Elephas maximus indicus: one gene and its partner. The protein of the gene in region 2 purifies or fractionates together with the protein of the main gene of each other region. This does not show direct contact. Links are inferred from orthologs where the notes say so. Each region holds a gene or a part of one and is shown on either strand. Other genes may lie near its edges. The genes, in order: CDK19 and MED13L.

The links.
Region 1: the proteins of MED13L (region 2) and CDK19 purify together in Homo sapiens (affinity purification with mass spectrometry; 5 studies listed by BioGRID and IntAct, counting the BioPlex papers as one, with this or other methods). This does not show direct contact. The link is inferred for Elephas maximus indicus from reciprocal best matches to the Homo sapiens genes MED13L and CDK19.

Annotation. Positions count from the first base shown.
Region 1 is NC_064819.1:176,759,565-176,763,475, forward strand, and holds the start of CDK19 (cyclin-dependent kinase 19), read right to left. Parts: upstream 2,565-3,911; 5' UTR 2,257-2,564; coding exon 2,129-2,256; intron 1-2,128.
Region 2 is NC_064840.1:14,031,171-14,035,081, forward strand, and holds the start of MED13L (mediator of RNA polymerase II transcription subunit 13-like), read right to left. Parts: upstream 2,901-3,911; 5' UTR 2,809-2,900; coding exon 2,737-2,808; intron 1-2,736. UniProt on the Homo sapiens protein: Component of the Mediator complex, a coactivator involved in the regulated transcription of nearly all RNA polymerase II-dependent genes.

The DNA of each region.
Region 1 (3,911 bases), on a different chromosome or scaffold from region 2:
CAAAAGTTCACCAAAAAAAAAGGCATATTATGCTGAAGGTACACAAACCAATCTGATGTGATGAAACCATCTTCCTCTACTAACGCAGCTTTATTACTTCTAATCAAATAAATTTCACTCAAGAAGGATATGTATTTGAATCAACAACTTTATTAGAGGGGGGAAATATTCAAAAAGAATGGAAATAGGAATTATATTATCTGCTGTTTGTTGTTGTTGTAAGCCCATGCTACTCAAATACAATTCAGAAGAAAATTCTTAACTTTTCTCAGAAATTGTCTGCTAAAAGGAAGTTATTTTAATCAAAAAAAATTTTTTTAATACATTTAAAAATTCTAGGTCAAGTGTACTACAAAGTTACCACGAGGAGTGTGAAAAGAGCCACTTTTATTTTGTAATGCCAATGTCTAAACAGGAAAACTTGATGTGCCTTCCCCAAATATATTTGATAACACTCCCACAGGAACACCAGTATTACAAGTAAAGTACATATTTCAAAAACAAAAGTTAATTATAGTACCTCACATCCCATGATACTCATTCAAGAACACCTGGCAATTATAAGAATTATGACAAAAGTTCACAAACAACTGAGTACTATCCGGCCTGTTTAGCCATAAGAAAGAAAAAATAATAACAATAATAATAATCCTGAAATTTGTAATTTTCAACATATTTTCACAGAAAATATTTCTGAAATTTTTTGTACAGAGAATCATAATTCTTGACACCCAACTCTAGATTGGGGGGAAAAAACTAGGGGCAAATGTCTCCAAAACTTTACAGTAATTGTGTTTTGTTTTTCCCTTTATGAAACTAGTGGGCAAGCGCGCGCGCGCACACACACACGCACACATTCACACACACAACCTACCTACTTTGGTCCTAGAGTTCAGAAACCTACCATATCAAATTGCAACAGCGTGCACAGAAAGTGGCCCTTCAAATCTTACTAATGTCAGTGTGGCTGATACTCAGTTTATTCGGAAATGTTCAATACGACCCTAAAGCTCTGTTCTTTACACGTTGACAGTCTTTATGCAGTTTAAGCATGGCAGGCAGATCTTTCTGGACGCCCTAACCCTGGGGGAGGGGAATTCCTACAACGATGGGACATGCGGTAATAACTGGCCACCCATCACAGAGAGCTGGTTCCACCTGTCCTGCAGTTCGAGCTCAACTACTCGTAATATCGTCCAGTTCGACTTCTAATGAGGTAGGAGATTCCCGAAGATGTCCTACGGTTCTCCCTCAACTCCCAGGAAAACAAAGGTTCAGGCCCAGCTCTGTGTCACTCTGTACTCCGTTTTTGATAATCTAGATGCCCAGTAAACCCCAGCACGTAGTCACTTGGCAGAGAACGAAGTGATGGACAGAAGAATACCTAAGGTGAGGGAAAAAGAGGTGCCAGAGAACCTGGCAGAACTCTGAAGTTCTCGCGGGCAAAACGCGGTTACTCTCTCAGGATGTCGTCCCACATTCGAGCGGAACTCAGAGTGAGGGTGTGAAATCGGGGCGCGGGGCGGGGCGGAGACGGGTGAGGAGGGGTCCAAAACACGACAGGGACGCGAGGGACCGAGCTGAAGGGCCAGTTCCGGCTAGCAGGTCCCAGGGGCGGAGGTCGTAGCTGGGACTGCCGTGCACACTGGGTCAGACCCGGGAGACTGCCGGGGACCAAGGCGCTAAGCCGCGCGACTGGCTCCGCGGCGAGGTTTCAAACCGCCGCCCCCGGGAGGGACTCAGCGGATTGGAAGTTCAACAACCGCCGTCACCAGCCCAGGGCCGGAGCGGCAACTCCTCCGCGTCTTCCCAAGAGACCAGACCCCACCAACTCCACCTCTAGCCGAGGTCCAAACTCGTGTCGCCGCCTGCTCCATGTACGCGGAGAGCGCCCTTCGGCATGGGACCGACGGCCCCCGACCGGGCTGCGCCGCGGGAGCTCGAGGGGCGCGACGGAGCCGCAGGGGCAGGGGGGCGTCTCTCAGAGTCAAACCCGGGACATGGCCCCTCTACCACCTCCGCCGCGCCCCTTGGAAACGGTCCGATAGGGCTCCGACCCACCCATCCCGCCCGTTCGCGGACAGGGCGAGGACCCGAGCGACCCTACTCCCCCCGCCCCTGCTCTTACCCATCTTTTCGCCTCGCCTTGTAGACGTGCCCGTAGGTGCCGCGTCCCACTTTGCACCCTTCGTACTCAAACAAATCCTCCACCCGCTCCCGCTCCGCCGCCAGCTTCGCCTTGAAATCATAATCCATTGTCTGCTTCCCCCATAGAGGCACCGGGACGTGGGGGCCGCCGCCGCTCAGTCCCTCCTCCTCCTCCCCCCGCGGCCGCCGCTCCACTTCTCTACAACAGCCGCCTCTCGGGCGCGCGCGCGCCGCCAGCCGCTCCGCGATCCGCTTTCAGCAAGGGACTCCTCGGCGGCCGCGGCAACCACCACCTCCACCTCCTCCTCCTCTGCGGCGGCAGCGGCGACGGCTCCCGCAGGCACCCTCAGTCCCGCCTCCCCCCTTCATTTCCTTGTTTTGGAACCTGGTGGGCCGCGCCGCGGCTTCCTACAGCTCATTAACGAACCAGCCCGTCCGCCCCAAGGTCGCGGAGGCTCCTGGGAAATGTAGTCCTGAAGGCCTCAGGATTGGCTAAAGGATTGCCACCGTAAGAACTGTAACTCCCACGTTGCCTTGGGCCCAGAGCCGCGCCTCCGCAAGGCATGCACGCCGGCGCACTGGGGCCGCCCCTCCCCCTCAGGTAGCGCTGGACTCCCAGTGAAGGTAAAAAGCGCCAAGTTGCAGTGTGCTTTCTGCAAGCCTGTGGGAGCTAGTGGAAAAAGGCCCTTGTTCTAGTAGGAAGGAGGAATTCCAGTCTGATTTTCCAGGCGAGAAGGAATATGGAAAGTACTTAACAAGTGCTTTGCCCAGAAGTTTACTCCAGGGGTTTGCGAGGCGAGGACTGTTGTAATAGAACAGTTCTACTGCAGATTGTTGTTTATTTTCCTTGGCAATTTGTCCTCCAGTTGCCCCCCCCCCCCTCATCTGGCCCTCATTGGCGGAGTTTAGAGAATGACGTCCTAGTTGGTGCGTGGGTATCCCCAGTCTTTGGCTTCCTTCCCGCTTTTGATTGGTTGTGCTCAGTTCTTCCTGATAGGTTAATCTTTTTTCTTTACGATGCAAATACATTATTTCAAACGCTGAACCGTCAGCAGTTTCTTAGTTCTTGCATTGGTTGAAGAGAACCTATAACTTCTCAGCCCCATCCTTTTCGTGGTGCTGTAGTAGGTCTTCCGCCCTAACTTTGGTAGCCAAGCTTTGACCATCTAAGAACAATCGGAATGCCTAGAAGATCCAGCGTTTTAAAAACAATCGTTTTGGTTGGATTGAAAAGGGCTTTATATATATATGGTCTATGCATATTATGAACATTGATTCATTTCATTATTGTGTTCGTAAAGTCTCAGATACTCGAAATACAAACTTAAATGTGATTGATGCTAGGATAGGATTTATGTACTACATTCGGTGGGAGCACGAAGGAGGGAATGATCGATTTTGCCTGAAGTAGGGAAAGTTATAGTGACTTCTGCTTGCTAGGTATTGGAAGAAGCCTGGAAAACTGAAAGGGGGGCGGGAGGAGAGAATTGCTTGTTTACTCCAACAATCCCGCCTGGGAAGCTTCCTCAGATCTTGAAGGCATGTTCAATAAAGTAACTGAGTTTCTCTTATTGCAAACCACTATGATAACTGCTGGAGATACTAGGTGAAAAACTTGTGTTTTTTTCCTTCGGGGTACTAAAACCTATTGTAGCAATAAACATGTAAGCAAATTAACAGTAAACTGTGTAGGTACAAAGACCAATGGTAGAATATGAGGAGCTCATAACTCTAGAGGTAGGCTTTCCGAAAGTGGGCTGGAG
Region 2 (3,911 bases):
AATCCACACTAATACGAGTATCTAGGTAAATTCTCTATAAACAATACTTCTCTCCACTTAAAAAAAAACTACAGGACACAAGGAAAAATATATGCTATTATTTAACATATTAAGAATTCTTCTTACAAGACATGCTTTATTTTGAACAGGTGATGATGACATCTCTTGGCAGTCTCAACTATTCCATATAATGCACCTTAAGCAACATATTTTTAATAGTCTAGGGTGCTACTGTATATGATTTTCAATTAAAATTCTCAATTTGCAACCAGAAAGAGCTATAATAGTCAGCAGCTTTTTAACTGATTCATCATTTAAAAAAAAAAAAAAAGCACCTTACCCACCCTCCCTGTACCAAAGAATGTAGCAATTAAACACTTTATAGTCCTTAAAAAAAAAATCAAGCTATGCATTTCTGCCGTTCTGAATTTGAAAGTTGCTACCTAAAAGTCATTCTTAAAATTAAAAAAAAAAAAAAAGATATATTCAAAAATCTCTTCCTGATTTAAAGAGGCTGAGGGAAGATATACTCAAAGCACAAAACTTGAATTGGTCATAATCAAAGTACAGCATCCTTGCCTACAAAATTGTTTGTCCAGAAGAATCTCAAGCATCTTATCTCTAAGACATTATCACTCTCACTTAGCTTTTAAAAAAAGAAGATAAAAGCAACGATATATCCTAGACACTGCCTATACAGGTAATACATTGCAGTTGTCTAATCTACCGTATATAAATTAGCCACATATACGTATACAAGCCATTACCAGTCAGTATGATATATGGTAATTTGGGGGCTCTCTCCTCACCAATATTGGTCTATTTGGTTATTTTAATTACCTGTAAAAGTGTCAATGCGGTCACCAGCTGCCAAACAAAAAACATTTTAAATACCCCTTAATCAATATGTTTGCTGATCTATGAGTCCCTGAACCTGACTGATACTAAGTGATAGGGGAAAAAGGAAAAGACAAAATGAGCTTTACTCCCATATGTTAAAAGATCACAAGAAAATCATCACAGTACCAAAAGGAAGAATTACTACTTAAAAATGAATTTAAAGATTATATATCTGAATAAGAATGTTTGAAAAAAAAAAATGTAACCTGGTTGTACTATAGTAGAAGCATGGATACTATGTCTCTCAGTCTTTGTAGCTAACAATCTCATGTGTTGACTTTTTTATCTGCATAAATACTGTAACATATTTAATAACACTTTATTTGAAAAGTTGGCAAGAATTTGCATTTCTCCACTAGTCCCTAAGGGGGGGATCTATGCCACCCATAATTAAATGTAACTAATTACAATTTGAACACTAAATTATTTATCCAGTGTAAACAAGGATTAAAAGGAAATGATGCTTCCGTCTACAGTAGAGGTTACAGAAAATAATTTCCAAAATGCATACTCTCCAAAAAGCAATCCCCCCAAAACAGTGTACCCAAGTTAAAATAAGTTGGTTTTTGTTTTTAGACTAAATTAAATAGACCGTTCAGCCAATTTTCCAATTATATTCTACGCTTCAAACATAATTGCCTTACATCTGTTTACAAACCTTTGCTCAATATTTAAACAAATTCCTACTCTCCCGGGCACATAGCTCTCCATACAGTAACTCATGCACAAAGCACATATTTAAAGACCACGCACTGCAATTATTAGCCTAAACGCCAGGTTTAACAACGTGAATGTTTTCAGAGAAGGTAATACGACCCAATAAAAAGCAAAGATGGCATTTACCACCAAATGTCACTGCCACCGCCAGGGAAAGAGTTGCTGGAGTCCTATACATTTTTAATTTCGATGAATCTAGCCGCCGCCGTCGGGTGCCGGGCTTCCAGGAGAACAATTGACACCCTAACTGCTTCAAGATTAAGGCAGGCGATTCAAATCCGAGGGAAAAGTTGTCAATTATCAGAGAGAGAGAGGGAGCCAGGCGAAGGCAGATAAAAGCGATGTTATCAAACCGCCCAGCTTGTTGCTTTTTTGTGTGTGTGTGGATTCGTTGTTAGGATAGAGAAAACAGTTTTTAAAAGACACAGGGGGAGAGAAAAAAGAAAAAGCTTTCTCCACCTTCCGTCGGCTCGGTGCAATGGCTTTCTGGCTCTCCGGCGTTTGAGCCCCGAGAGGCGGGCGGGCGGCTGTCGGTGTTTACAATCGCGGCAGCTCCGGGTGCAAGAGTCCTTTACTGACACAATCGCATTCGATCAACTGTTTTCGGGCGAAATTGCAGGTGTCATTACAGCATTTAAAAAAAAAAAAAAATTCAAAAGGGAGGCGGGCGGACAGCCGATCCGACCGGGGGGACGAGGCTGCTAGCAGCCCACGGCAGGCGCGGGCAGCAGCAGGCAAAGCCTTCCTTCCACATTTGGGGGGAAAGGGGGGCAGACGGGAGGGGGTGTGATTGCAACAGAGGGTGGGCGCTCCGAGTGCGACCCAGAATCCGCAGCTTTGAGACTTCCACATGCCAATTCCACGCCGGGCGCCGCGCTCACAAATGATTTTTAAAGAGCCAAATAAACACTGGATGGGGTCCAAGGCGGAGGAGAGACGATCCAAGGGAGAGCAGCGGCCAGAGGCGACCCGCGGGGAGGGGCGAAGTCCCGGCGGCGGCGGCGGCGGCGGCAGCGGCGGCGGCGGCGGCGGCGGGAGGAGAAAGTTGATCGGCGGCGGGGTCGGCGGCGGGGTCGGCGCCCCCGGCCCAGCCCCCCTCCCCGCAGCCCGGCTACTCACCAGCGAGAAGAGGTTGGAGTGACAATCCTCCAGGCTCGCCCCGTTCGCCACCCAGTTCGCTGCCGCAGTCATGATCCTCCGCGAGCCCGGCCGCCAGAGCGGGGCATGTCGGAGCGAGGCGTCCGAGGCGAGGCCGGGCCGGACGGCGGCGCCTCACCGGGAAGCGCGGGGCGGCCGGGCCGCTGCCGCCGCCGGAGGAGGAGGAGGAGGAGGGCGGGAGGCGCCGCGGCGACGCCGCGCCGGGGGCGGCGGGCCCGGGCCGGCGGGGGGGTCCGCGGCGGCCGCGCGGCTCCTTCCTGCTCGGGCGGCGGCGGCGGCGGCGGCTGAGGCGGCAGCGGGGGGCGCTGTCCGCGCGGCCCGGCGCCCTCCCCGCCTCTCAGGGCCGCCGCTGGCTCCCGGGCCGGCGCTGCGGGCCGGCCGCCGCCTCCGCCTTCCCTGCTCCTCGGCCGCCGCCGCCGCCTTGTTTATCTCCAGCCACCGACTCCCCCTCAGCCCCCGCCGGCGCGTGAGGGGAGGCGAGCCCCGGAGCCGCCGCCGCCGCCGCCGCCGCCTCGGAGCCGCCGCCGCCGCGGAGCGCGAACTCGCGAAGGGGGGGGTGCGGACGAAGCCAGCGGGCGACCCCGGCAGCCGAGCGACGTCCCCTCCTTCCTCTTCCTCCCCCACCCCCCCCCTCCTCCCCAGTAAGCCTCGCTTCTCCTCCCTCCCCGGGCTCGCTCGCTCTGACAGCAATGGCGGCCGCCGACCGCGGCTCGGCCCGCCATTGGCTGGCGCCGTGTCACGTGACGGGCGCCGGCCGCGCGGGGGGGCGCGGGCGGGCGGGGGAGGGGCCGGGAGCGGCGGCGGCGGCGGCGGTGGCGGCTCGCGGGAGGCGCTGCTGAGCCGAGCGCGGCCGGCTTCTCGGGCCGGGAAGAGGGGCAGAGACGCGGAGGGAGAGAAAGAAGTGCGGTCGGCCCGACCCTCCGGAGGGCGGTGGGCTACCGGGCCCAGTGCTCTGTGGGCGCCCCGCCCCCTCGCGGGGCCCGGACCCTTGCGGAGCGCCCGGGCGGCTGAGGGGCGCGACCGCGGGCCTCGGGAACGCTCGCGGCGGCCGCGGTAGAGGGCGCGAGCCCCTCGCTGCTGCCCCCGGGCTGGCTGCGTGGCCGAGGCTCGCTGCGGGTCAGACAGCAGGTCCATCA